4 separate regions of the Mus musculus genome follow, and all the other regions are reported to be linked to region 1. Evidence: microRNA targets listed by miRTarBase, many of them from high-throughput screens and not tested one by one. Region 1 holds a microRNA gene; each other region holds the end of a gene's coding sequence.

Region 1 (7,118 bases):
TCCGCTGTATATTCTTGCAAATGGCTTTTGGAATTATAGAAAAGTTTAGAAGCTCTCTTGTTGAGATGGTGGGCAAAATCTTATTAAATATGTCCATGAATTTGTTGGTGAGAGATACCTTAGCCTATATTTATTTGGCCCTCCTCCTGTCGTGAATCAAACCCTTGTCTCCCACTTAGAAAATAGCCTACTGGCCTCTGGCCCAATTGGCCAAATGGGCACTTCACTGCTGGCAGGTAGACCTTACCAAACTGAAACCTAAGAACCTTTCATTCTGTCTCATTGGGACAGAATTGTGTGATCTGATCCTAGCTTACTTGTCCCCTCACACATATGAAATGGTCTGAATTCAACAGTTCCTTTGTTTTTAATACTTGTCTTTGGAGTTGAACCCAGGCCTCTTTTTCTACACCCCTTCCTCGGCTGCTCAGTGCAGTTCTTTGAGTACCCATTCCTTCTCTTGCTTCTTCTGGAAACAACTGCCTTCAAAGCCCCTCCTTGCTCTGCTCCACCTGTGTTCATTCTACTTGGGGCCTATTCCCTTTGATGTTGCTTTTGGGAAGTACTTTCTGCCACACCCTGCCCAAGTTCGATGCTTCTCTCCCTGTTTACAAATTGGAATTTATCAGATTGATCTCTGATGGGCTACTTGACACACCTTCAACCAATCACTGCTCAAGTCTGCTTTCTTGGTAGAGTAAACCTGGATGGACTACGACCTGGGAGTGAGGATTCTTTCAGTTAATAAATTGTTTGTTTGGGACAGAGTTCTCTGTATAACAGCCCTGGCTGTCCTGGACTTTGCTTTGTAGACTAAACTGGCCTTGAATTCAGAGATCCATCTGCCTCTGCCTGAGTACTTGGATTAAAGGTGGGAGCCACCCTGCTCGGCTCACCTAAAAGTTTGTACCATAGTTTCTACACCCCTTTTGCTATGCTCTGTTTCAAAACTAATGACAATTTCTAAAGCCACACCTCAACTTCCAAATCACTGTTTATCATAACTAGTTGGTTTAATTAGTCACAATGTCACACTGACTTTTCCATCAAGGAAGATCCAATACCTTTGAGAAGCCCATGAGACTACCTTCTTACTCAAAGGTAGTAATTTTGCTCGGTAACTGTCCACTAAACTTACTGAAATGCTCAGAAAATGATTATCTATATGGGTCTGAATACATATATTATTAATTCTTCCCATAACAAATATAAATCTCCTCAATCACAAATGCTCTACACAAATGACATTAAGCACAAGACAATTATTTTATAGTCTAACTTTTTGTTTGTGGTGCAGGAGATGAAACCCAGTGCCTCTCACGTGCTAGGCAAGTGCTCCACTTCTCGTGTGTAACTTAAACAAGAATAAAACCCTAATTTTCGAAGAACAGTGGTGACACACAGCTTTCATCCCAGCACTCAGGAGGCAGGAAGATCCAAGGCCAGCCTGATTTAGAGTGAGTTGCAGGACAGCCAAGGCTATGGGGGGGGGGGTGGAACCACCTGTTTCCAAAAATAAAATAATGAATTTAATTTTCAAGACTTGCAAAGGCCCTATGATCAAGATCAGCCATCATTTTAATTTCAGACAAAGGTCTTGGGACTCTTAGGAGGCAGTGATCTACCCTAGCCCCTCGAGACATGCCTAGTAAAACTAGTAACTACAGTTACCTTCTGGATACGTGCCACCTTAAGTACCAGTGGACTACCAATGGCAATACACTTGTATTAAAGCAGACCCCTAGTAGTACTAAAGATTATAACAAATAAGCTTTAATCCCCACTTTTTAAATCTACTTTATTAGAAGGGAAGGAGGTCTTTGCTACCACATCAAACTTAACTACAATTAGGCACCAATAAAATACTAAGTCATAGCACAGGAAGTATCTCATTATTTTGTTTCTGTAATTACTTCAAACATTAGTGACTTAAGAAAATCCTACATACTTAATAGAGAATTTACTAGCCTCCATCTCTTTTCATTAAGATTTCATGTCATCACAGCAGTTAAAATCCATGTTCTTGACCACTCTTCACCTCCCAAGGAGAACAGAAGCCCCACCTCACTGGTGTAGGACCAATGTTATCACTGTATTTTCCCTAATGAAATGGAAGCTTAGGGAACTAGCTCAAAGGTGAAGTATAATTCAGTAAAAAAATTCTAACTAAATTGAACCTATGTAATGAGGTCCCCAAAAAGTAATAAAAGGCTTTCAAAGTTGGGAAATTCCAAGGCACAAAGAATGACACATAGTGATACCTCTCCCTTCTGATGAGAACTCAATGTTCAGATAGGTAAAACCAACACATACCTACCTAGTTTTTCCACTTACCAAAGACAGGGCAGTGTTAACATTAACACATGAAACAGAATGAGAAAGTGGGGTAAAAAATGTGCCTGAGTCCTTTCAACTTTATGAATTTGAAACTTAAAATAGAACCGGGCGTTTTTTTTTTTTTAACCTATAGTTCTTTGGGCGAGCACCATCAGCACCTGAGACTGGGTTACAAAGGCAAATCCTGAGGGCTCACCTGATGACAGTCACTCTCTGGAGATGGGACTGGCAGGGTTTTCAGTAGTGATAAAACCAAAGACTCAACGCAAACTTAAATTCCAGTTATATTCAAATGTTCCTTCAAGACATACCCTATAAAATTTGTTTTCAGCTCAGTGGGGGAAGGGCACTTGCCATCGGGCCTAAGAAATCTAAGATGTATGTCCATGACCCACATGACTAGCTCCCTACAGTTGTTCTCAAATCACCACATGACACACACACTAAATAAGTAGATAGATAGATAGATAGATAGATAGATAGATAGATAGATAGATAGATAGATAAATGTATGTAAATGCTGGAAGTCTAGGAGTGGAGGGGTGCCTACCTTTAATCTCAGCATTCTAGAAGCAGAAACACACAGATCTCCGCAAGTTCAAGGCTAGCCTAGTTTACAAATTGAGTTCCAAGCTAACCAGAGCTACATACCAAGACGCTATTTTAGAAAAGCCAATAGTATTGCTAATTTAAAAAGAGAGCCATTGCCATATCCAGGGATCCATCCCATAATCAGCTTCCAAACGCTGACACCATTGCATACACTAGCAAGATTTTCCTGAAAGGACCCAGATATAGCTGTCTCTTGTGAGACTATGCTGGGGCCTAGCAAACACAGAAGTGGATGATCACAGTCAGCTATTGGATGGATCACAGGGTCCCCAATGGAGGAGCTAGAGAAAGTACCCAAGGAGCTAAAGGGATCTGCAACCCTATAGGTGGAACAACAATATGAACTAACCAGTACCCCGGAGCTCTTGTCTCTAGCTGCATATGTATCAAAAGATGGCCTAGTCAGCCATCACTGGAAAGAGAGGCCCTTTGGACTTGCAAACTTTATATGCCCCAGTACAGGGGAACGCCAGGGCCAAAAAGGGGGAGTGGGTGGGTAGGGGAGTGGGGGTGGGTGGGTATGGGGGACTTTTGGGATAGCATTGGAAATGTAAACGAGGAAAATACCTAATAAAAAAAAAGAGAGAAAAAAAAGAGAGCCCCAGGCTGGAGAGATGGCTCAGTGGTTAAGAGCACTGACTGCTCTTCCAGCGGTACTGAGTTCAAATCCCAGCAACCACATGGTGGCTCACAACCATCTGGAATGGGGTCTGATGCCACCTTCTGGTGTCTATGGAGACAGCTACAGTGTACTTGTCATATAATAAATAAATAAATAAATAAATAAATAGAATCTTTTAAAAAAGAAAAAAGAAACCCATTTTTTTTCAGACTTATATATCAGCTTTATTTTGCAAATTTCAGGTTTGTTTACATTCAGTGCAATCAAAATGTCAGGATTTCAAATATATTTAAAAATATGTAGTTTTAAAAAATTAGACTCCAAGCTGGGCGTGGTGGCGCACGCCTTTGATCCCAGCACTTGGGAGGCAGAGGCAGGCAGATTTCTGAGTTCGAGGCCACCCTGAGTGAGTTCCAGGACAGCCAGGGCTATACAGAGAAACTCTGTCTTGAAAAACCAAAAAAAAAAAAAAAAAATCCACTCCAAATGTGTTCAAAGCAATGACTAGCTAAAGGATTTTACAATCTTACTATAGCACTGATAGACGGCTGTCCACATAGGTCCTGCGGTTTACAGATGGATACCGTGCAATTTTCCTCCTATTACACCAACCAAAATTGCATCGTGTTCCACCTGATAACAGCAAAACAGTTCATTTCATAATTACAGTCTAACATAACTTACAATACTCAGAAACTAAAAGACGATTAAAAACCCTCTTTCTTCCTCAGGCCGGGACAAGTGCAATACTTTATATCTAACACAAGTAATGCCACCAATCCCCACCTGTGGATGAATGGGCATGGATGCTGAAGATGTGCATAAAGGTGTCCATTACGATGCAGAAAGGTACACATTCCCACAATCAGTTTTGCATGGATTTGCACAGCCATATATTCACATATACGCTGAACTGCAAATCTGCAAAACTAATCGTAAGTAGCAATGTCCTTGCGCTGTAGTTGCTTCAACAAGACCTTGGTTGATCCAGGAGTACTAGAAGTGCTCACACTGCAGTAGAGTGGTATAAAAACTACCTGCACTATGAGCACTTTGGCACTACTAGGATCCGAGCTTGTTCTTCTACACAACTGTATACTACAGTCTCCGCCATCTGTTTCTCGGCGAAACACTGAAAGAGCCTTTGAAACTTGTGCCGTTCAAATCATTTCTCAAGATATGCTTTTCAAATGCAAGGTAAGAAGTAGCCTGTGCGAGAAGGGGCATTTAGGGCAGTAGATTGTAAGCTGCTTCACTAACAGCACTAGATGCACCTTAACACAAGAGACACATTACAAGGAGCAGCTCAAAAACATCCACAATCTAACTATGCAGAAACCAGGGGACTCAGCGGCCTCTGATTAAATCACCATGGTAATGTAAGAAGTGCTGGCACTGCAGTAGAACTCAAAAAGCTACCTGCACTGTTAGCACTTTGACATGGCCAAGGCATACTCCAGGAGTGTAACCTTGAAGTCTTCCACGAACTCTTCTTTGCCAGATCTGCAGACTCACCTGGATAAACACACACACACACACACAGCAAGTAAGTGAACTGTGAGTTACTATTTCTAAAACAAGTTTGCCTTCCGTTAAGAGTGCAAATGGGGTTGTGTTACTTCAAACATTAATAAGCTCAATTATTTACACAGACTTAAACATGAATAACACTGGCAATCTCAGAATGTCTGACTCTTAAGAGTAAGAGGATTTTGGACTCCCTCTCCGTCTAAGGAAATTTGAGATTCGCATCCCAGAAAATTTGCAGAGCTGTAATATCCACCATGGTTTTCTAAGAGGCAAGAGCCCAGGAAAAGATGTAAGCAAAAAAATAAATAAATAACATTAGGGTGAGTACTGACGTCTTGAGCTCATCCAGAGCTTTGGGGAGCCACTCGGAAGGTCTCTATGTTTGATTACATGAAGCATCCCTGCCCCCAGCCCATTAAGAGAAAATGATAGAAATTTCAGAGCCGCTTTAAGAAACAGTTTTACACTCTTCACATACCGCACAGATGGCCTAGAGATGTCACATTTTCATCTATTTCAAAGGGCTCTACTTCTGTTTAAACATTTATGGACCCATTTTCTCCATTAAACCTAAAGAAGTCAGATTAGCTCTTTGGCTTCATGTCATTATCTTCCACAGGAAAAACCTCTCTCATTTCCAAGTGTGTATCTTACCCAGGAAAATGCTGCAGAGGACAGTCTGAGGGGTCACGAGCTCCCTCCCTCCCATGATGGAATGTTTGTGTTGATGGGGGGACACCAATAAACTTCAGGGACACAAAACTTGAAATGTGTTCAATGAGAAAGGATATTTTAAATGTTGGAACTTTTCGAAGCCACTTAGTGACTAAGATAGTTCTTAAAACATTTTAAATATAAATTAGCAAAACTTTTGAAGTAAATATGAAATCTGCTTCCTATAGTGCAAGTATTGGCTTATTATACTTTTCTTCTTGAACTGGGTTCCTACAACTAGAGATTTTTGCCTCCACTAAAAATATATTACAAAACCTGACTCAACTTCGCAAAACCATACCTCAGCCCTCCAGAGAAAGCTCCTTCTAGCTAATACCTTTCTTTAACACATCTGCTCTCCATCATATATACTAGAAAGTCGCTGTACAACTTCTAAAATTGCAAAGAGGACCCAGTCTTTTACCATTTCGGGATTTTCTCTGGTCTATTCCCGCATCTTCAGCAGCGGCTCCAGTAGAGATCTGTGAACCTCCTGGGAACGCAGGGTGTGCTCCAGCCAGTCATGCCACGCGCTTAGGTCTTCAAGACACCTTAGCGGCCACCAAAATTAAACAGAAAGAAACAAAGCATTATGGGAAACGGAGTTCTCCATTCAAAGCCCCCAAAACGCGCCAAGCTTAAGCCTCTCCCTCCATTCTCGGGTTGGTGGGAGGGAAACCAAGGTAGGTCGGGAGTCCTCCCGCCCCACACCCCACGTGCACCCTGGCATTTGACCACCCACAAGTTCTCCAGAAACCTTCAGAGCAACAAGGGAGAGTCCTTTTCTCACGAGTTGCCTGGCACCCCTCAACTACACTCAGGTACTTTGCTTTTCTCAAGTCTTGCCAGCTCCATCCCCTCCCACCTTAGTTAACTCTCTGGGATCACAGCTGCGCCCGCGGAGGTACGCATCTCCTGGTCCAGTCATCCAGAACAAGCGCGTAGGGGATCTGCCAGTGACCCGCCCTGGCAGGTGGCGCGCGCGACCATCCCGCTGCTGTCCTGCCTGCCAGGATCAGGGAACCGCACGCATCTTCCTAGAGCTCCTGGCCCTCTGCTCTCCTAGCTGGTGGAGGAGGGAGGGCGGCGAGGAGCCACGTGCAGGAAACGCGCCCCGGCGGCCCACGCACACCTAACCCCCAAAGTGTCCGCGCAGCACCACTTGTGCACACGAGCCTGTGGCAGCGGTCCGTCACCTCGAGCTGCGTCCCAAAGCCCGATCCCTGGGAAAAGCCCGCCCTTCGCCTTTAATAGCCTAGGGGGGAAAGCCCGCCCCCGCCCACTCGGCCCACACAGGAATTAG
Region 2 (7,118 bases), not on the chromosome of region 1:
ATCGTTTCCTTAAGCTTTGCTGTATTCATAAACGCAGATGTCCATACCGCCTAGAATGAGTTTGTTCAAGGCCACTGTGAATTCTGAAGATGAATTTCTAGACATCGAAAAGCCTACATAGTGCACCGTCCCAAGACTGACATGGCTGGTTGACACAGTGGGCTTTTCCTAGAGGGCAGTCTTCAGGCAGAACCACCCCTGTCCTCCTTGTCACGGGTTTTATCATGGTGTCTCCTGAAGAGGAGGAGATGGGAATGTGTGGTGGGCCTTTGTGTTTAGTGCTTGAAGACTGATGTGTTTGTGGCTCTATCAGTGTGAGGAAGTGAATGTCCCTTAGAAAGGCCCACCCACTTTTCTTCACCCCTACCTTCACCCAGTTGTCTGTTTGGGAGAGACTAGTTGTCCAGCTGGGAGAGTAGTAACCAACTGTAATCCCAGTGTTTGGGAGGCTGAGGCAAAAGGATCTCGGGTTCAGTGTCAGCCTAAGATACATAATAAGACATTCGAGACATAGTAAGGTACAACTTGTGACAGTGCTGTCAAAAAATAAATATATAAATTATATATACATATGCATACATACATATAGACGTGAGATTAGAGCCAGGAGACCACAGTAATTCTGTAAATCTGATCACATATTGCCCAAGATTGGACTAGATAGCATCTTAACTTCCTTCGAGTTCTCAGTTCTAAACGTGGACCCAGGCCAAACTTTCTGGGCAATGAGCATATCTCCTACAGCCCCAGGCACTCTTGAACAAAGACGTCCCCCTCTCTCTGCAGGTGTGCTGGCCATCCTCATCCCACGCCTGGACCTGGTCATCTCCCTGGTGGGCTCTGTGAGCAGCAGCGCCCTGGCCCTCATCATCCCGCCCCTGCTGGAGGTGGTCACCTACTATGGAGAGGGCATTAGCCCCCTGACCGTCACCAAGGATGCCCTCATCAGCATCCTGGGCTTCGTGGGCTTCGTGGTGGGGACCTACGAGTCTCTGTGTGAGCTGATCCAGCCAAGCCATAGCGACTCCTCTACCAATTCCACCAGTGCCTTCATATAAGGATCTGGGTGTGCTCCCTCCACCAGCCTCACCCTGTGTGTCTCCCAGTAGTGTCCCCACATCCTCAGGTATAGTCCAGCCTCTGGAAAAAGGCAGGGTTGCTGCCTGGGCACTGCTCTATCTGGCATTGGACCCTTGGGTAACCTGGGCTAGATGAGACTGAGACTGGGGGAGGGCGGGGAGCAGCCCCTCCACTTGTGATGGTGCCGTCGCTGCTCTCCTTCATCACGCCTCCTCCCTCGGCACTGCCCCCCCCGCCACCCCCCCGCCCCCCCCCCCCCCCCCCGTCTGACCAGCCACGCCTAAATTATTCCCATTGCACAGCTCACTTTATTTAAAAGGTAGTCTCTGGCTCCCGACATTTTCTCCTTTCCTGGGCCAGGCCTAGATTAAATAAGTGGGGACTCTCATGTTTTACAAAGCCAGGCCTCTTTCTCATCAGGCTCCCAAATGCTGTACCTCACTGTTCCACCCAGCTGAGTCCTGAGAGGGTTCTGGATGCCCCCCCACCCCCAATAGTTTACAGCCAGCCCTGAATGCTGAAGGTTTCCATCTGCTGTCTGACTTGGGGAACCCACAGGCCACGTCACCTCTTCTCGTTTCCTCTGTGTAGGTCACAGTGCTGCCCCTTGATTTCTTTAAAGACAATGAGACACTGCTCAGGCTGGAGGTATTTACGGTGTATTTAAGCTTAGGGTTCAGGCTCTTGACTTCAGACCTGGCATCACAGCTTCAGCAGCTTGGCACTTGGCTTCTCCTTCCACTAAGACACCTGCTCCAGGGGACCTTGGATATGCCCTCCGCCCTGCCCTCTTGGCCATTTTGTTGTTTGTTTGTCTGTTTTGTTTTTGTTTTGTTTCCAGACAGGGTCTCATGTCACCAGAGTTGGCTTTGAACTTGCTTGCTGTGTAGTCAAGGATGACGATGGGCTCTCAGTTCTCCTACCGTTGCCTCAAGTATGGAGGTTACTAGCATGAGCTGCCACTCCCAGCTGGCTCAGAGACCTCAAGCAGATCATGTGAGCATGCACCGCCTCTGGAAGCCCCATGCTTCTGTGGACTTCCATTCATGAGACTGACTCCATATGGGCACTCGGAAGTACTCGTGTATACAAGGCTAAGGACGGGGCGCAGTTCCTCTTCATAGACACTACGCACAAGGGTCATTGTTTACAGTTCCTGGGGAGAGAGCAGAATCCCTGCCTTGCCCCAAGCTGCCTCTGTATCCTGGGCTTCCAAGGAACCACTAAACACTAACTGTGGCCCATACCTGCCCCTATTATGCCTCTCACAGAGTCACCTGGCTTCTAGGTCAGTCATCTTAGGGTGTGCCTTTAGAGGCCACTGAGAGTCCATGACTTGCCACTGCTCCCCTGTTGATGTCAGGATTCCCAAAGGACAGCTGTTGGCTCTCCATCTCTGGGTTATGTGTGTGTGTGTGTGTGTGTGTGTGTGTGTGTGTGTGTGTGTGTGTGATAGTGAACACGTGTGCATGCACACATATGCACACTACAGAGCGGTTTGTGTCTCCTCTCTGGTTACCAGGCTCTTAACTACAGATAGGATTTGCCTTGAAACTCGAGTTAGAGAAAGAAGCAAGAATTTATCAGAGTGCTGCTTTTGTGTTTGACAGAAGCTAGTGGCCCAACCTTGCAGCCAAGCCCCTTCTCGCTGTTCTGTCCAGAGCCTGCTGCGTGACTTCTAGGTCACAGGATGGGAAGGATGGTTTCTGGCTACAGCAGCCACTGTCCTTAGCAGCGTTGCTAGGAGTAGCCATTGCTGTCTTGGCCCCGAGGAGAGCAATGCTTTTTTCCCTTTCTGGCATCAGCATCCCCACAGGTGCTTATGTGGCCTGGTTCCAGCTGGGACTCACAGACGCCTTGCTTTCTGAAGTCTCAGGCTGGAAAGTGACCAAAGTAGGTTTAGACGCTGGCCAGCAACCCAACTGTGGGCCAGGCTCTCTCTTAGAAGCCACCTGAGCTTGGCTTCCTGGGTGGGAAGAAAGTCTATTCTGAACTTTTACAGGCGCTCCTACCCAGGTCTAGACCCATTGTCCAAGGCCAGCTACTCTTCAGGGCCCCTGGCCTGACACGGTGTGGTGTGCCTTCTGTAGCATTTGGCTGAGGGCAGCTTCCTTGGTACCTTGGTATGGCCCACATCTTTTGACCTCTTGCTATACTCCTGAGGTACTGTCAGTTTGGTGACCTGACTCTTTGAGCAAGGTCAGGGCCTTTCTGGATGGACACCAGGAAGCTGCTAAGCACATAGTGCCAGGCGCCACACACAGCCCAGGCGCCCACAGGAGCCCTGAGTCAGAGCCCTCCTGACCCCTCCCACTGTCAGTTTGGAGCCAGATGGCCCCCGGTGGGAAAACAGATAAATGGGAGCTTGGGCAGAACAATATAGACAAGGCTTGTGGAAACTAAGCCTGAATCCAGATGCCCCAGAGGCAGACATGCCCCATCCTTGCCAGCCCATTCCTTGTCTGTACCCAAAGTCAGAGGCCAGTTATCGAAAACTTGAATGTGAGCACTTGCTGGGAAGCATGTGATCTAGCCCGAGCAACCCACCGTGCCCTTAGCTGTGGCATCACTTGTGCTGCTGTCTGGGTCGGGAGAGGTAGAGGTTAGCTTAGGCCCACCTGTCTCACCTCACTAGCCACACCTATGGGCAGGTGCTCCTGTCTGCTCTCTTCCCCTGGAAGTCTTGTGCTAAGTGTGATCAGTGGTCTGAAGCTAGATCCCAGAGCCTGTCCTTAGGCTGTCTCATCCTCAGATTTCTCCCTCCCGTCAGTGTCTGCTCTTTGGATTCCATTGTTTCACTTGATCCTTCCAGGAAGTGCAGAGCTCAGATCATGTTTACAGCACTCACTACCCCCTTCTAATGCCCGCCCGCCCACCTGCCTGCCCGACAAGGGCTCTGGACAAGGGTTTGCTTTCCCTGCTAGCCAGCCCCAGCCACCATTCCCACTGGCACACTGAGGCTTTCTGGGGCCTGATATGGGAACCAGACAGAGTGGTCGGACGTGGCAATCAGGAGGGTGGCGCCAAGCTGGCTTGAGAATTTAATTTTCCAAAGTACATTACAAATCAGATACCATTAGGGGAAAGCGGGCCATGTGGCTCATCTTTGAAACTGTGGTCAATACTTGAAGGCACTTTAGTCCTGCTGGCCGCGCCAGCTTCCGTCTGGCCGGTGTCTTCTTTTTCTGTGTGTCCCGAGCCATTCACTGGTCAGAGACATTAAACCGTGCTCATAAGCAGTTATCAAAAAAAAGCAGCAGAAAATGAGGCTGGAAGGAGCCTGGTGTTTACCCTGTTCTTTGGTTTAAATCAAGCCGATGTTGAAGAAGCTGGAATTTTTTTTTTATGAATAATAAAATCCCACGTCTATATCGTAAAGCTGTCAGTATATGTTGAAATCAAGGAACGAGAGAACTGCCCTACAGAGAGTCTTAACAGCCAGACAGTACCGTGTGCTGGCGCCTACCTGGATGTGCATTGCGTACACGCGTGGGGCATGTCAGAGCTTCAGATGTGCATTGCGAACATGCATGGGTCATGTCATAGCTTCAGATGTGCATTGTGTACATGTGTGGGTCATGTCAGAGCTTCTAGGTCTCATTTGGGTTGCACATATGGATCTTGTGTTAAATTTCCACTTCAATAAATGAATTTTATTTTTTATTTTTGAGAGGTTGCAAACTGTGTCTTTGTTTTCACACTTCAGGGAAAAAAAATCACTGAGTTAGGACAATCTGACAAAGGGACAGGGGTCTGAGAAAGGGAAAGCAACCCTGTTTCCCTAAACCACTTCGATATTCTCCCGAAATCCTGGGTCGCCTTCTGCATATACCAGTGGGTAGTTTTAGGGATCAGCTTGGTTTTTCAGTCAAATATGAGCCTGGGTGTTTGCAAATGTTAACATTTAGAGCAGTTGACAAAGTAAAGATTACCCTTGCTAGTGTGGGTGGCTTCATCACATCCAAAAGTTCTTAAACCGTGGCCTCCCTGAGGAGGAATCCTATCTCCAGACCACAAGACCAGCTTCTCAGCTTCCACACTTGAGTGGAGACCAGCCCTAGGAACTGTACACCTGTCAGCCACAGCTAAGCTAGTTCTCCTTTGAAATTTGTTTCTATATTCTCTCTCTCTCTCTCTCTCTCTCTCTCTCTCTCTCTCACACACACACACACACATACACACACACACAGAGAGAGAGAGAGAGAGAGAGAGAGAGAGAGAGAGAGAAAGAGAGAGAGAGAATTTACCTACATTAACTGAAATGCCTACTGAGTCACCAGGCAGAATAAATAATTAGGTCACAATTGCATGTGTGGCCAACCACTCATGTTCCTTGTCTGGTGCATGACTGTGTGTGCACACATACACTGAGTCAACCCAAGGTCCCAAAGAAAGAGCCAGTCAGTCTTTACAGGCCACCAGCTGGTACAAGGAACCACAACACAGCAGGGGGCACAAGGAACTAGAACACAGCAGGGGTCGGTACCAGAGTTCCTGTGCTTCTCCTGGTACCTGCCTCTTCCCTTTGCTTACAGCCTCAGCCAGGAGGGTGAAGGGAGTGTCAGAAGGATGCGGGGCTTAGAAAACTGAAGGGAGTCAACACTTATTTACATGATCGTCTGCATCAAGGCTCCATTCCTATGTAATGGCTATAATTCAAACCCCAGATCTCCAAGTTCTTCAAGGTAAGCCCTGCTCTGCTGGAGACATGCGTATGACTGACAGTGAGCTGACCGGTATGACTGACAGTGAGCTGACCCGGCTTTCCTAGGTAGGCAGCCTCTTCATTTCTGCCCTTTGCAGATGTGCTTGGAGACCGTGAATCTTGAATGGTACATTTGTCCTAGACCAGCAGCTCTCAGTCTCCTTTCGGAGATGGGAGGTTGAATGACCCTTTCACAAGAGTCCCCCTAAGACCAATGGAACACACACGCATTTACATCATGAATCATAATAGTACCAAAAATACAGTTATGAAGTAGCAACAAAAATAATTTTATGGTTGGGGTCACCACAACACGCAGAACTGTATTAAAGGGTCGCAGCATTAGGACGGTTGAGAACCGCTCTCATAGACCATGGTCTCCCTCATCTTTTTAAATAGATTGAATTCTGATCTACATATAGCAAAATTTGCCTATTTTTCAATGTGCAGCTTGGTGAGACCATATCAATAAAAATGTCGAAGGTTGGGGCTGGAGGAATGGCTCAGTGGTTAAGAGCACTGACTGCTCTTCCAAAGGTCCCGAGTTCAAATTCAGCAACCACATGGTGGCTCACAACCATCCATAATGAGATCTGATGCCCTCTTCTGGTGTGTTGGGAGACAGCTACAGTGTACTTAACATGTAATAAATAAATAAATCTTTAAAAAGAAATGTAGATGGTTGCCTTCTAAAATATATTGTGATAATATGCATATATATGTGTGCAAGTGTGCACACCTAGATGTTGGGTATCCTGCTTACTCCCTGGAGACAAGATTTCTCACTGAACCTGGAGCTAGGCTGGATGTTAGCCAAATCCGGAAATTCTCTAGTCTGCCCCTATGACACAGGCTGTAAGCATGTATGTCCATACCTTAGGTTTTAATGTGGGTTCTGGGTATCTGAACACAGGTCTTCACGCTTGTGCAGAAAACATTCTTACCCACTGAGCCACCTCCCATCTCTCCATTCTACTCTGCCCTTGGCCCTGGAGCAAAGGTGTGCGGATGTGTGGACTACTCAGAGGCTGGCTGCCTTTTCAATGGTAATGGTAGAATCATGTTTTGAGACGTTATGTCAATGACAATCAACAGTTTTCTATATAGCATCTTATTTAAAGGGAAAGAAACTTCTGGCAATAGCTCCTTTGCACATAGAGACATTAGAGGGTTTTTAAAAATGTGTCTGGGATTCACATTTTCTAACTAGCCAGGACTCGCCTCCTGAGACCCCTGGTTCCTGCCTCCCACCACTCTCACCATGCCTCATTTGCTTCATCTCCTTTAGAGGGCACAGAGAAGTTTCTCACCCCCAAGACCTGCTGGGTGCCCT
Region 3 (7,118 bases), not on the chromosome of region 1:
GACAGTGGCAGACCATGCAACATCATAGCTTTATTTGTGACTAAGCTCTTTGTGTCTGTACGCTGGTAAAATAGCCAAGAACATGTGTCTGAGAAGGTACTCCCACCAGAAACTGATGCGTGGCTAGTTTAATCCATTGGAGGGTCAGGTGGGCAGTTGACAGCTGGCTTGGGTGACTTCCCTTGCCTGTGTAAGTGCTTATGTGTGTGACACACACTGTGCTATAGCCACATTTGATCTCAGTAGTCCTCCCGGGAAGATGCCAGCCCCTTTTGCGGGCCTGGAGAGGATGTGTGACTGCTCCTAATCACAGTGACGAAGGGGCCCATGGTGGATCAGAACCTGAGTCTTCACCACCAACACCCGGAGGCCAGAGTGGGCTTTGTCAAGTCAGGAAGCAGCAGGGACCTCTGGGGACGCTTGCTGTGTAGGCATTTCATCAATGATATCTGATTGGCCTCTCCTTGTCCAGCGTGATCCTGACAGTGCTTCCTAACTTGTGCACACACCAGAAGTCATCTTCCTCGCTCCCATGTGGGGACTGGCTCTCAGCAGACACTGAATCCCAGGCCTGTGCGATGCCTGGCACAGTTGACCAACAATGTCTGCGGACCTAATGTGGAAGAACAACACCCGAGCCAGGCCCATCTACTGAATTTCCATGAGACACATATGTGCTGAATGTCCACGAGCCATGTATGCGCTGAACCTCCACGACACATGCATGTGCACTGAGGACAGGCCATTGGCTGACACTGCATCTTGGAGACCCAGCTTCTGTTTCCACTCCCCAGGGACCTGAGCTGCCCTGGCTTCTAACCACCTGCAGTGTGGGTACACGGCCTGACAACACTATCTATCTATGAGGTGTTTCTGAGGCTCAGCTGCCTCCTGCCATGGGATATTCAAGAACCCTGGATGACTGGAGACCACCCCGGATGGAGGTGGGCTGCTTCCATTTGATCGGCTCTTGGTGGTGGGAACCAACAGCTTGTTTCCCAGGGACCATTGGCATAGCACACAGAAAGGCAAAACCAGGAGCTATGGTTGCTACGGTCCAGCCAGTGGTGTGCTCACCATCATTATGAAAATATCTGGGAGCTGAGGGACAAGGAAGGCACACATGGTGTCCCTCTCCACAGAACTCGTTCAGATGCAGGAGCCATGCCCACTGCGGAGGACCCTTGTCTCGCCTGGTTCTTTGCCTCGGCTGGCAAGGGGTCTTTAGACCCACAGAGCTCGGGTGAGCTGAAAGGGTGAGGTCCTGGCCTTTCTCTTGCCTTCCTGGCTGCAGTGAGTTTCTAAAGGTCCAGGGAAGAGTGAATATCACAAAGCAGGCTGTCAGGAGCACCCCCGACCCTCAAGTCTTGTTCTTCCCTTTGGTTGGGAATTGGGGACCAGGGCCTGCTCCATGGCCCGTTGCTTCCTCTGAGTTTGCAAGACTTGGGAAGCCAGAGCTTGGGAGTTTAGTTTTTCAAAAAGCCAGTAGGGATGCTTCAGCAACGGGTGTGACCGTGACAGTTTCCAGAAGGCTTTGCTGAGTGATAGGGTCGGGAAGAGCTGCAGACAAAGTCCAGTGCATCCCTTTAAACTTGCCAAGAAGTGTCTCCCATCTTTCTGCCCACTCAGTCCCGATGAGGGGTTTGGCATAGCAGTGTTCCAGCCTGGAATACTTGCGGGACAGTTTCTGAACCTCAGTTTTCCTAGCTGTTAAGTGGGTATCATAATGGGGTAACACAGGGCACTGGACAGAGTGACCAAGGAATGCAATGACATTTTTTATTGGATTATAACTCCTTGGGACAGTGCCCACACTGCTTGTGGCTGTCACAACCCCTGTCCCAGCCTGCGGCACAGAAGTTCCCTGGGCCTATTTGTTAGGTGAATGAATGCCCGTCAGGCTTCCTGGGCCTGCTCCCGGCTGGAACACCTGCCAGCTGCTTAGTCCATCTGGCACCATCTGGGCCAGAGACAAAACCATCCAGCAGACTGTACCAAAGCTCCTACAGTATGCACAGAGGACCCTCCCTCCCCTGGACAGTGTCCTACGTGGGACAGAAGGTTACAGAGTGTACCGGAGCCCCTATAGGGAAAGGATCATGGATACAGATGCTGTGCAGGTGCCTAGTACTGGCAGAGGCCCAGGTAAGCAGCATCATGTTTGCCCTGGCATAGCTTTGCTCCCATCTCCCCCAAAGACCTCTCTTCCAAGCCTAACACGGCCTGCCTGTTTACCCCCCACTGACTTCAAAAGCCCAGTTTGGAAGCTAGCCTGAGCCCTGAGCCCCCGTTCCCCCATCCAGCACACACCCTTTGGGCAGCAGAGTCACACGGGCCCAGGACTGAGTCTCAGTTGTGGAGTTTTTGACTTGTGATCTCCTGCAAGCCTGTTCGCCTCTCTAACCCATGGTAGACTGAGGTCAGCTCCACCCCGGTTCCCAAGATCCCTGGTGGGTTTACAGCGATCATCCGTGCAGAGGCTCGGCACAGTGGGCAGCCTTGGCCATCACTGTTTGGCATGTGGTGCCCACGCTGACCTTGGGCTATCATGCCCACCTTTACACGTTTGGCCTTTCTGCTTCTGCCTCTGCCACAGTGCCCCCCCCCCCTTTTCCACCTCCATGGTGCCAGCTGCTGAGTGAAAACACACACACACACACACACACACACACACACTTCCTTTCTGAGCCTCTCCATCGAAACTATGCATGGTTTGCCCGTGAATGCAGATCAGGCTGCCTTTAAACTCAGCGGTCTCCCTGCTCCTGCATCCTGAGCGCTGGCATTAAAGCGGTGTGCTGCCACCCCTGACTCTGTATCCCTGGCTAGTCTTGAACTTGAAACCTTTCTGCTTGAGCTTGCCAAGTGCTGGGGCTGCCCGTGCAGTCCCACAGTGGAGCTAGCTATGGCAGAGAAAACTCACTGCTCCGTTTTCTCAGATGAGGAGAATGAGGTTCCAAGCACGGTGGACTGGACCAGTCTCGCCCACCTGACCAGCGATTCCAGCCGTCTGTCGGCCAGACGACCCACGGGTGTTACTACACAGGCATGAGCGCAGAGTGAAGCTGAGAGGTTGGCACTGCTCAGGTGCCCAGGGTGACCTGAATGTCTCAGAGGCCAAGTTCATCATTGTATTCTGTCTGCTGGAGCCCCTGGCCTTGTTTCTTCAAACCACCTCCCCTGCCCCCGTGTGCACCAAGCTCCAACAAGGGTCTAAGGGAAATTTGAAGGAGCCCAAGCCAGGAGCATTGTCCAGGGAACGAGGTGGAAGCTTGGGGTGCAGCCAGGGCTCTGGGCCAGGGGCACCAGCACCATCTTTGTCTGGACAGCAGATCTCTGAGATTTCTGACTGTTCCTACCCAGGTCTAAGATGTCTGCTGATAAATGTTCCTACCCAGAAGTCTGAAGAACAAAGGAACCCCAGAGAGAATGTTTACTCTGTCCCTGAGATAACCGGGAATCACCAGCTGCCCGCAGTCGGTAGAGACTGGTGTCTCTTACGCCCCCTTCTCTGCTGTCCTAGAGGGGAAACTGCGGTTCCAAAAGCAAGGGGCTCTGGCCTGAGCTCTCAGTTGGTGGGCAGCAGGGCTGGGACAAGAGCCCTGTGGCAGAATGCGCCGGGCTCTGGATGGATGGTGGAGTCCGTGGCGCAGGCTCCGGAACAACCCCACCTGTTACACATACGCTCATCAGCAGCGTTGGCTGTCAGGACCACAGTGAAGAAATGATTTCATTAGGAACGAGGCACCAAGGGGTGGGGACCGCTGGCCTGGGTCTTGATGCAGTCTCCTACACTGGTCTCATGCTGTCATGGGAGGCACAGCCCGTTTCTGGAGATGCACACTCGGGCAAACTCCTCAGGTGTGCAAACACTTCAGGCCAGGCTCCTGGGGGCTGAAGTGCATTTGCTAAGGCACTGTTCCACACAGATGAGTCCCCAGCCTGTGTAAACTTCAAAGAAATGGCAGGTGACCTTTATTCTCTGTCCACCCTGGCTGTGAGGGAGTCGGGAGTCCGGAAGCTTGGTCAGAGGCTCTGGAGGGTGGCCCTGGCCCTTGCTTTGTTTTTTTTGGTCTGAGACCACATGGGTCTGCTGTTTATCAAAGGCTGACCGGAAGCTTGAAATCTTCCTGTCCCGAACCCCTGGATTAGACATGTGGTGACACGGGAACCTGTGACCCCAGCACTCAAGCAGCTGGGGCTACACAGTACACCCAATCTCAGAAAGTAAAAAAGAAAGGACCCAGGGCACGCCACATTCATATAATGACCAACTTAGGGAGAAGCCACCAACTCTACCTGATCCAGAGGATAAAGGCCAGCAGCTTTGGCACTGCCAGTGGCATTTCCTCAGGGTTTTGCGCCAACTAAATGTTCACGAGCACCCACAGGTCCTGCTGGCCTATCAAAATATCCTGCTTGCTGCATGCTAGCTTTTTGCGCTGGCAACTTCAGTTCTAAAAGGTACAAAGCCAGAGCCAGGCTTTAGTTTTAGGTGGGTGAGCACCACACTGCAGGAGATTATGTGTCTCGGGGCGGGGGGGTCTGCAGTATTTTTCTGTTAGTGGGGACACTGGGGCATCTGAGCTACCTCAGGTTAGATCCATCTTGAGATATCTGGTTTCTCTCCCCATCGAACAAGCTGGCTTCGGTAGGTGCCACATACATCATAAACTGCAAAGCTACGCATGTTGACCAGGTACCCTGCCGGGTGGGAGGGAGCGGAGGGAGACTGGCTCTAGGGATGCTTCTCTGAAATGTCACTTCAAAGCTGGGCACAGGTGACAACTCCTAGCTCAGCTCCAAGGCCAGGATGTCAAAGCAGCTCTTGTCTTCCCGCTCCTATGGGTGCTTCATGTGACCCAAACCGTCTGGGCACGGGGCTGTGTAGAAACCAGAACAGAGCCGTCGTGTGCTCAAGTACAAATTTAATAAAGCCCTGACAAGTCTTAGTCCACGAGTTACCTACAAAAACAAAAACCCCTGCTTCCTTCTGGCGCCACCAGGAGCTGCTGAGATGTCATCAAACAGCAGCTATGACATAACTGCCGGGAAGCAGACTCTAGGTGACCGACAGACAGCCCTAGGTCAAAGACAAAGGGGTCAAGTTGATATCGGTGCTTACAACTAACTCTCCCGTGTGCCCGCTGTAACTCTCAGGCTCTGTGTTACCTGTGCAGGCTGTGCACGGGGCACAGGGCTCTGCGGGCAAGCTGGGAACACACATGGTTGGCAGACGTGAAGCTGGAGCCACCTTCCAGAACCCCAGGGGCTTTCCTGGGCCTACCCCATGCTCCAGCCCAAGATCTTTGCTAAAGTGAGAACAGGGCACGGCCACTTCCCACTGTGCAGGCTCCTTGGGGAAGGCGTTTTCTTGCTTTGAGCGCTGTAGCCCTAAGCTGGCTCCACGGAGTGGAGGAGGGGCCAGGACTCCTCCATCAGGGTGGGAGGGAGACAAGAACCTGATGAGGCAGGAGACAAGTGGCTACTAGCAGGTTACTAAGCCCTGGGCCTCTGCCTCAACATCCTGAATCTGGAGAAAGTTCTTAAGGGAAATGGGGAAAGGGAGGGCCCAGGAGCGCAGTGTGTGGGAAAAGAGAATGAGGTCCCAGACAAAAGAGCAAGCGCCAACAGAGGCGGTGTGGAGATGAGATGTGTGGGACGTATCCTCAGCTCCCAGGGCCTGTCAGTGCAAAAGGACGGACTCTGAAGTCCCTGGAATAAAGTACTGCCCAGGCGGCTGGGCACTGTAGGTAGGGTCTCATGTGGTTCTCCGTAAGGTGAATAGGGGGCAGATGCCCAGAGCGAGCAGGCTCTGGGTACTCCAGAAATGGGCTGTTCTCCAGGGGAACGATGGGTTTCTTTCCCAAGCTAGGACACTGATGCACAGGCCAGGGGCTGACAGCAAGGGTTCCCTGACAGCGTGGCCTGCTGAGGACTTGGGAAGGAGGGCTGTGGTGTGGACCACCTGGATCCCTATAGGAGAGACCCTGACTGTGCTCAGTGGCCTCCCTGGCAGGAGCTGGGCTTGGTTGCCTGGGAAGAGGCCACTGTGGACAGGGTAGAGGCAGGGACTTTGCTGTGCATAGAGGCTTGGCGAGGCCGTACCTGAGTTTTCAGAACGGAAGGAGGAGCTCACAGGCACAGGCCTTGTGTCCTCCTCAGAGGGCAAGAGAAGAAAGCCTCACAGAATCTCCAGGAGTTGCTCTGTAATCACTAGGCCCAGGTCTCAGGCCCCACAGGGCAGAACTGGGGGGTTATTTTCATCAGCCCTCTGTCCCCAGTGCATGGAGGGCACTGTGTAGCATCCCCAACCTTGGGTGTCTCATGGCTATTGAGAGGGTCTGAGGGCTGTGGGTACCCTGGCCACACTCCTGGGGGCTCTGTGGTAGCGAGACCAGGCTGTGTTAGGAGAGCTCAAAGCCCGTGTTCATGCTGATGGCATAGCGTAGTTTCTCTCGCAGTACGCTCTTCTTGCTGTAGTTGGGCAGCTTAAGCAGGTTGAAGCAAGTGGAAGATGTGGGCAGACGCCCCCCTGGCTCCCTCTTGCGGATGGTGAAGAAGCCCCTGAGGACGCTGCCCAGGGTATCCCCAGTGTCCTGCAAGCACACACACAGCTTTGGGTCAGAAGGTGCCTACACAGGAGTAGGATATGCCCAGCTCAAGGCAAGGGCCTGAGAGGCTGAAGAACACCTGCCTTGGGGCACTCACACCTGCCCCCAGGCACTCACACCTGCCCCCGGGCACTCACACCTGCTGCTGGGCACTTACTCACACCTGCCCCCGGGCACTCACACCTGCTGAGTCCTGTTCTAGGTCAACTAAGACAACAGGCTCCTGACCGACAGACATGTATCAGCTAACTAAGGCAGCCTAGTACCCTGTCTCTGTCGGTACCACAGCCCATGGCCAACTAGCACTTGACTCAACTTGGCCCAAAATTTGGAAGTGGAGGACCATCTAGTGTCTGACCCATGGGAACACAGCCTGAAGGCTGCCGGCCGCAGAGAGGTGGTGAGGCAGGGACACCCTGAGACCAGCATGCTTTCCCAGGGCACCCACATCTGAACAACAGCATGGTCATGCTTCTACCTCACTGGACAGAGTCCTAGGGCATT
Region 4 (7,118 bases), not on the chromosome of region 1:
GAGGCAAGCCTTCAGGCTGTGGTTGCTGTGTGCAGTGTAGAGAGGCCAGGCTTCAGAGTTGCACTGGCTGGTTTGTTGCTGGGAGCTAAGTTGTTACTCTTTTTTTGCCAGTACTTCATGACCATGATCATTTCTCTTGCTGCGGTGGCTTGGGTGGGACAGCAAGTTCACAACCTGCTTCTCACCTACCTGATTGGTAAGTCGTTGAAGAAACATCACATGTTCAACTTAGCAGGGAAGTCTGACTGTGGTGTGTAGTCAGTAAATAGATTGAGTTTTCACAGGACCTATGGGAGTGGGGCAAGGTGAGAAGGAAAGGTTCCAGTCTGTGCTGGGTCACAGCTCAGATTGTGCCCTGTGTCACCAAGGCCTGGGTTTGATGCCCAGTACTGGATAAAGCTGTCATTCCAGCCCTAGATGCAGAAGGAGTAGAAGTTCAAGGTCATCCCTTTCTATATGCTACAGGTCGGGTTCAAAACCAGCCCAGCTAGAGATTCAAGTCAGGGCTTAAGATAGAGCTCCATGGCTAAAAACATGCTTGGTTCAATTCCTGGCTCACAGCAACCTATGACTCTAGTCTCAGGGCATCTGATAGCCTCTGCTGGATTTTGTGGGCACTGGGCACACATATATTCCACATATATGCTTCTAGACAAAGCACTTGTGTATACACATAAAATACAAATCTTTTTTAAAAAGACTGGTCTCTGTTTTCCTGGAGTTCATTAAAGCCAGGTAGGTCGTGAGCAAAGAGGAGTGAGATAGAAGGCACTGTAGTGTGAGCGTGAGTGCACCTTCAGGAGGCACCTTGGCTGCAGTTTTGGGCTGAATCCTGTTGGATGGCTTTTGTGTCACTTCTCCACAGTCCACCCACATTCAACTGTAGTCATCTTCAGAGAGTTAAATATTGTCTCCTCAACTTCATTTTTTTTTTTTTCATTTCTAGTGACATTTGTGCTGTTGCTTCCTGGACTAAACCAACATGGGATCATTCTGAAGTACATTGGAATGGCCAAAAGGGAGATAAACAAACTTCTCAAGCAAAAAGAAAAGAAAAATGAGTAGTGTGGCTGCCGCGGAGTGTGCCCTGGCCCTGGGCACTGAAGTGTTACAGTGGCTCGTTGCTTCCCTCACTCTGCCCTTGTTAATAGAAATTCTCACAGGCCAGGCTCTGTGCGGGCTCTAGTGCCAGGTGTAGCTGGGTACATTCCCCGTCAGTGTGACTTCCTTTCATTTTGACAACTTCCTTCCTTTAAGATGCTAAGTGGTGAACTTTACTGTTTTGTACAGTGAACTGTGACTTTGTTGATGTTTGCTTTAGCTATATTCAAGGCAGTGGTCTGTGGCTACAGGAAGCTGGTTCTACTGTCTGCTTAACAAACTGTCTTTGTGAGTACAGAGATTGGGTTTACCACTTCTGCTGAGGAGACCACTTAAAATTCATTCCTGAGTTTCCACTGTGGGAGAATACCCATGGAATAAGATAAAAAATTAATTCCACACCCTAGTGTGTGTAAGTTCCTCGCTCATAGGAAATGCAACAGTTTGAGGGAGCATTGCCCCTTTGTTCCTGTGAGGACTGGCAGGCTTTGACTGACCTCTCATTCCCTTTGCACTGCTTCAGGTTAGTTCTAGTCCATAATGGCCTTTGAGCAGCAAGCTTTCAGAAGATTATATTTGAGGATTGTAGCAGTTTCTTTGTTTCAGATTGTCAGCTGACTTAAAATGTTTGTGACTTTCCTGTAAGGGCAGCCAGGGATAAAAGTATCCTTTGTTCAATGAGTAGAAAACTAGATTATCTATTAATATTTAAGACCAGGAAAAAAAAAAAAGAGGCTTAAGAGTAAGCCTGGAAAATCTCACTTGTTTTCGTAGTATTGGCTGTATTTCAGTGCCTCCAGCTTTGCACTTGAGAGACAAGTGTTTACTGCTGTTTGACTTTCCCCTTGACATTTCTCAGAAAAATGCAGGGCTGCAGCTGAGAGCAGACTGCTGATTGGTGACTCTGGTCTGCCTAGCTTTTGCAACTCTTTAAGCTTACTGTGATCACGTGCCCTCTCAGTAGGGGGCTTTTAGAGCAGTTGAAATCTGCAGAACTGAACCTCTGAGGGCCAAAATAGGACATTTGGGAACAACTCCTTAACCCATGAACTAGCTGTAACATAGTTTGTGGATCCATGCACTGATGCTGTGAAGCCTGCCCCTGTGTGTATCTGTTCTCTCACCTCCCTAGCACTGTAAGCAGCGGTGCCTCTTGTAGCATGTGTGTTTGTTTTTTAATGTTTCATGACTCCCACTTTGATTTTACATGTTTTCTTGTAAATAAGCCTGCCTTCCTACCTGGAATTTGTGTGTGTGTGACTAATACATGTTCTACGAGTTAACTACTTTGGCAGTTTTAATCATTTCTTCTTTGTTTTGTGGTAAAGGGGAAAAATTAAAAACCAGTTGGAACCCTTTTGTCTCACTTTCTTTGTTAACTCTGAGTTTATGAATCTAACTAGTGACCACCTGTTGTCATTGGAGCTCTTCTCTAAGGTACCCATGTCAGATGGAAAGGGAGAACACTGAAGAGGAGGAGACAGTGGAGACTCAAAAGATCGTGTACTTAAGCTCCCAAAGCAGGTGGTTGATAATCATCAGTAGTTGATAATCATTTGTCTGCCTTTTAAAATTTGGGTGTCATAACTTGCGGTCTCATTGGGAACAGGCTCCATCCACCCTTAAGCATACTTCCCTTTCTGCAAGTTCAAGTAAAGTCACAAATCCTATGGCTTTGAAATTGCTGACTTGTAATCTCTTGCGGCCAGCCCTGACTTCATGGGAAGACTTCAAAAGTTTAAAATCACAAAAGAAAACTCTGTTCTCTCATTGTGGTAATTGCTCAGGTCAGCTGTGTCTGAGTGCCCTCCTGAGGTTCTCTCACATTCAGGCTCACATGGAGACAGACATTAGGATCTGTGCCCTGTAGGTCTGGGCCTTTGGTACTTCTAGACAGGCTCACAGAAAGCCTGGGTAGGCCTTGGACTCCTGGCCCTTCTGCCTTCACCTCAAACAGTCATGTGTCACTTCACCCAACCTAGTTTTTAAGTGTCTGTAAGGTGTAGTTAAATGCCAGCAGCTCATCTTTGATTAGTTCTAATTTGCCTCTAACAAATCACAAACGTGAGTCAGTTTTTACTGGGTTCTTTTTTTTCCACTTCCCTCCAGCCCAGCCACCCCAAATTTCCCAATTTCTATACAAGTGCACACACATACACACACCCCCTCTAGGAGCTCATCAGCCTGGGGCCATCTAGATTCTGTGGCACACCAAGGTCACAACACTGGGATCAGCTAGCCAAATCCCCACAGAACTAACTAGGATCTCAGATTCATTAACTACCACCCCTCCCCACTGCTGCTTTGATCTGAATTCCTGAAGTCATTCCTATTGGGTCCATGTTAAGGAAATTGGGAGACTGGATGTGAGTTTGAGGTCAGTCTGAAATAGACCTGTGCTCAAAATCCTTATAAACCTTGGGAAAGCCTGTGGTCCTTTTGTGGGGTGAATTATGACTGGGAATGAAGACTTCCCCTGTTGTGAGAGAAGATGAAGGGGACTCTGGCGGCCAGAGCATGACAAAGATGGTTCTGGCGGGCCTTTTTCTTCTCCCTTCCTCTTTTCTAAAAACTATTAGGTTACATTCCTAAAGCTCTCTTATTTGGTCACTTATTTGCTCACTTCCTTCTGAGGCTGACTACCAAGGTCCAGCTTTCAAAGGATGGAGGTCCAGCAACCAAAAGTCCCCTTGCAGCTACCCTAATTAACGTGTCTAACCAGAGTTAGACACTTCATCCTAACAAGAGGTTTTTTCCCCCTTTACCCTCATAAACTGTCGTTTGCTCAAGGGCCACACCTGTCTCCTCTCTATGCAGAGGCAGTTCTTTGTTCCCAGGACTTACATCCTTTCCCTCCCTCTCCCTTGTTCCCCTCTCCCTCACCTTCTATCTCCTGTCTTTGTCTCTCATTCCCTGTCCTTTGTTCCTCTGGGGGAAATAAATCTTGTGCCAAACACTGCTGAGCACTGCCACATTTGTGTGGTCTCTCAAAAGCTCCTCTGAGTGGTTCTATCATCCCTGTTTTAGAGATGGAGAAACTGATTTGTCCATTCAGTTTTTTCTTCAACTATATGTCGAGGACCTACTATGTGGCAGATGCTTCTCCAGACTTAGTGTGAACAGCAATGAACGAAGCTTCCCGAACCTCTGTAGGCTTGAAGCTTAATGGTCCAGGCTAGGAGTCAACAGATTCACTTGAGGTGTAACCCCAGTTACAGAAGTGAGGCAGACAGATCACAGGGCTGCATAATAGGAGGAGGAGGAGGAGGAGGAGGAGGAGGAGGAGGAGGAGGAGGAGGAGGAGGAGGAGGAGTGTAACCCCAGTTACAAAAGTGAAGCAGACAGATCACAGGGCTGCATAATAAGAGGAGGAGGAGGAAGAAAAGTGGACCTTAAGCCGGGCATGGTGGCACACGCCTTGAATCCCAGCACTCAGGAGGCAGAGGCAAGCGGATTTTTGAGTTCGAGGCCAGCCTGGTCTACAGTGAGTTCCAGGACAGCCAGGGCTATACAGAGAAACCCTGTCTCGAAAAACAAAAAAACAAACAAAAAAAAAAAAAAAAAAAAAAAAGAGAGAGAGAGCGAGAGAAGCGGACCATGGCAGTAATCCCTGTTACTAGTCAAGATTTTCATGACTCCGGGGACAGCATTGGGCCACTACTGGTCTCCAAAAGCCAAATTCAAGCCAAACCAACCAAAACAATAATAACAAAAGCCAAGTGCTGTGATGTTTAATCTCAGCACTGGGAGGCAGAGGCAGGTGGAGGCTAGAAGTCAGCTTGGTCTTCATAGTTCCAGCCCAGCCGAAGCTACCTAGTGAGTTTCATTGTGGCAAACAAAACTAAACGCAAGAACCCGCAGTGGCGTTAATGCCAAAACCCTAGAGGCTGAGGCAGGACTGCCGCGAGTTTCAGAGCGACTAGCAGCCCACCATTTCTAGTTTCATCTGCCCCTCCCAGAGGAGGCCCCGCCCTCGCATTGGTTGTCCTATAAGAAATCACAGGGTTTTGGGTTTTTTTTTTTTAAGTGTGTGACCATGAAGTCTCGCGATAGCGCTTCCGCTTCCCATAATTCCGTGCGTTTGCCCGGCCCACTCTCTTTCTGCCATCTTCCCTCGCCGGTGAGTGAGTGTTTGTGAAACTCCGTGTTCATCCGTGTGGTATCTGTGCCATCCCTTTACCCCGTGTTCGCTTTCGGAGTCCCGTGGGCCTATAGATCCCTGCAGGGGCCGTAGTCTCCGTCTGCCGGGGTCGGGGGCTATGGGTAGCCCTTTGCGGGAGCCGGCCCACTGCAACAGGCCGGGCTCGGCTCGGGCCGGCGGGGACGGTGGCCCGCGTGGGCCCTGCAGCCTCCGGTGTCTGCGGGAGCTCTGGAGTCCCGAGTGTCCCACGCGGCCGTGGCCAGGGTTGGCGCGGGGAGTTAGGCTCAGCCACTCACTGCCGAGTTAGGGAACCACGTCGTGGTTTACTCTTGGCGCGTAAAATACGCCTTGGCAGCGTCCTGAGGAGCCGTGGAGGTAGCCTATGGGTTGTGGCCGTTCAGTAGGCTGGCTGGGCTCCCTGTCACGTACTGCCTCTTCTCCCGAAAGGGGGTGTGTGTGTGTGTCTGTGTGTTAAATGGTTACCTGTAAATGAGTTAAGTCGCGTTAACCTCTTGACACACTGCTGGCTTTGAAAATCTTGGCAGACGGTGCCAGAACTTTTTCCTAATGACAGTTCCCGCACCCCCACTTTCAGTTTGGCTAGCTGGTCGGTCCCACCATTTCGAAGGCTATCTTCTGTGTGGTGAGGCTCGGCTTGTGTCATTCTCTCCCCAGCTATTTTGTGTGGTGGGTGGTATGAATAGGAGTGTCTTGGAGGGCTAGACTCTGAAGAACAGTGCTGAACAGTCGGGAAATTGTAGTGAATTTTTCCTGGTTCTTGGGAATGTTGCTTAGACCTAGGAAAAGCTAATGGGGGTAGGACAGCATGATTGGGTGTTGATGCAAACCCCGGCTTTTCTTTCCACAGCCACCATGGTGCGAATGAATGTTCTGGCGGATGCTCTCAAGAGCATCAACAACGCTGAGAAGAGAGGCAAACGCCAGGTCCTCATCAGGCCATGTTCTAAAGTCATCGTTCGGTTCTTAACCGTGATGATGAAGCACGGTGAGTATTGGTGTCTTGGGTTTTTGACAGTGCTGGATCTGGGAGGGAAAGACAGTAACCGTTCAAGAAAAGAATGGGTGTGTTGATGCTAACTCCCAAAAATTTTTATGTGATACGGAGCTTTCAGAATTCTGATGCAGAGACTCAGATGAGAGAAAAATCTAATAGGCAAAAAGTTAGTGTTGGCGTAAAGGTTTAGGTCTCAAATTGATGTCTGGTTTGACGCTGGTCACTTGTTTTATAGGATACATTGGTGAATTTGAGATCATTGATGATCACAGAGCTGGGAAGATTGTTGTGAACCTCACAGGAAGGTTGAACAAGGTAAGACATCTTGCTTCTCAAATTGCAGCTGTCTGCCACTTCACAGTGTTGTCATTCTTGCTCTACTTCCCTGATTTAAGGAATTGGCTAAGGCTATGCTTCTGTTTTAGTACCCACATTTCACTTGGTGTCTTTGGTTACTTGTTCAAATTATTGGTTAGTTTTGTGTGGGATAGAGCTAAACTCTGGTAACGCTGGAGTGGGAAACTGCTGATTTCAGTAGCTTAAACTATGGCTCAGTGTATGAATAACTCAGTCTTGTACTGGTGGTGTGTGTGGCCTGTTTATTTTCAAGATGGAAGTCTCAACACATAGAGAGGTTGATCTATACTCTGTCAAACTGCTGTATTAAAGTTACACGATGCACTTGTCCAGTGGTGTGCTGGCTTTTAATAAAATTGTTAATCTTGAGTAAGTGGCTAAGAGTTCATGGTCTGTTGGTGTAGGTTGTAGCTGTCTGAGTTCTAGGCTGCTCGTCAGTTTTAATTGTCATCAGCATAGCCAAATAGACTTTCTGACTCCATGGTTTAATAGCAGTTTGGGGCA

What was found. The annotated mature microRNA mmu-miR-19b-3p reads UGUGCAAAUCCAUGCAAAACUGA and lies in region 1 at 4,437-4,459, opposite strand. An mRNA with a match to its seed (bases 2 to 7 or 8) in the 3' UTR can be bound and repressed. Matches are read on the target gene's strand: a 7mer-m8 pairs with bases 2 to 8, a 7mer-A1 pairs with bases 2 to 7 and ends in A, and an 8mer does both.
Region 2: miRTarBase lists Slc36a1 as a target of mmu-miR-19b-3p. Seed matches in the 3' UTR shown: 7mer-A1 at 1,375-1,381 and 7mer-A1 at 4,687-4,693.
Region 3: the mRNA of Ube3b is a reported target of mmu-miR-19b-3p. Seed matches in the 3' UTR shown: 7mer-m8 at 5,690-5,696.
Region 4: the mRNA of Arl6ip1 is a reported target of mmu-miR-19b-3p. Seed matches in the 3' UTR shown: 7mer-m8 at 1,610-1,616 and 7mer-m8 at 1,903-1,909.

The regions. Positions count from the first base shown.
Region 1 is chrX:52,737,555-52,744,672 of GRCm38, forward strand. Mir19b-2 (microRNA 19b-2) reads right to left here and starts at 4,512; the gene lies at 4,429-4,512. Mir363 (microRNA 363) reads right to left here and starts at 4,213; the gene lies at 4,139-4,213. It overlaps Mir92-2 (microRNA 92-2), which reads right to left and starts at 4,374; the gene lies at 4,284-4,374. It overlaps Mir20b (microRNA 20b), which reads right to left and starts at 4,638; the gene lies at 4,559-4,638. It also overlaps Mir18b, Mir106a and Kis2.
Region 2 is chr11:55,231,581-55,238,698 of GRCm38, forward strand. Slc36a1 (solute carrier family 36 (proton/amino acid symporter), member 1) reads left to right here. Exons shown (of 11, transcript NM_153139.4): 11 at 787-4,750. The coding sequence ends at 1,058. Among named protein-coding and RNA genes, the nearest start is that of Slc36a1, 31 kb to the left of the region's middle.
Region 3 is chr5:114,418,959-114,426,076 of GRCm38, reverse strand. It overlaps Ube3b (ubiquitin protein ligase E3B), which reads right to left. Exons shown (of 28, transcript NM_054093.3): 28 at 4,908-6,599. The coding sequence ends at 6,408. Among named protein-coding and RNA genes, the nearest start is that of Mir7027, 18 kb to the right of the region's middle.
Region 4 is chr7:118,114,239-118,121,356 of GRCm38, reverse strand. Arl6ip1 (ADP-ribosylation factor-like 6 interacting protein 1) reads left to right here. Exons shown (of 6, transcript NM_019419.2): 5 at 112-196; 6 at 947-2,467. The coding sequence ends at 1,065. Rps15a (ribosomal protein S15A) reads left to right here and starts at 5,210. Exons shown (of 5, transcript NM_170669.2): 1 at 5,210-5,221; 2 at 6,111-6,248; 3 at 6,493-6,572. The coding sequence starts at 6,116.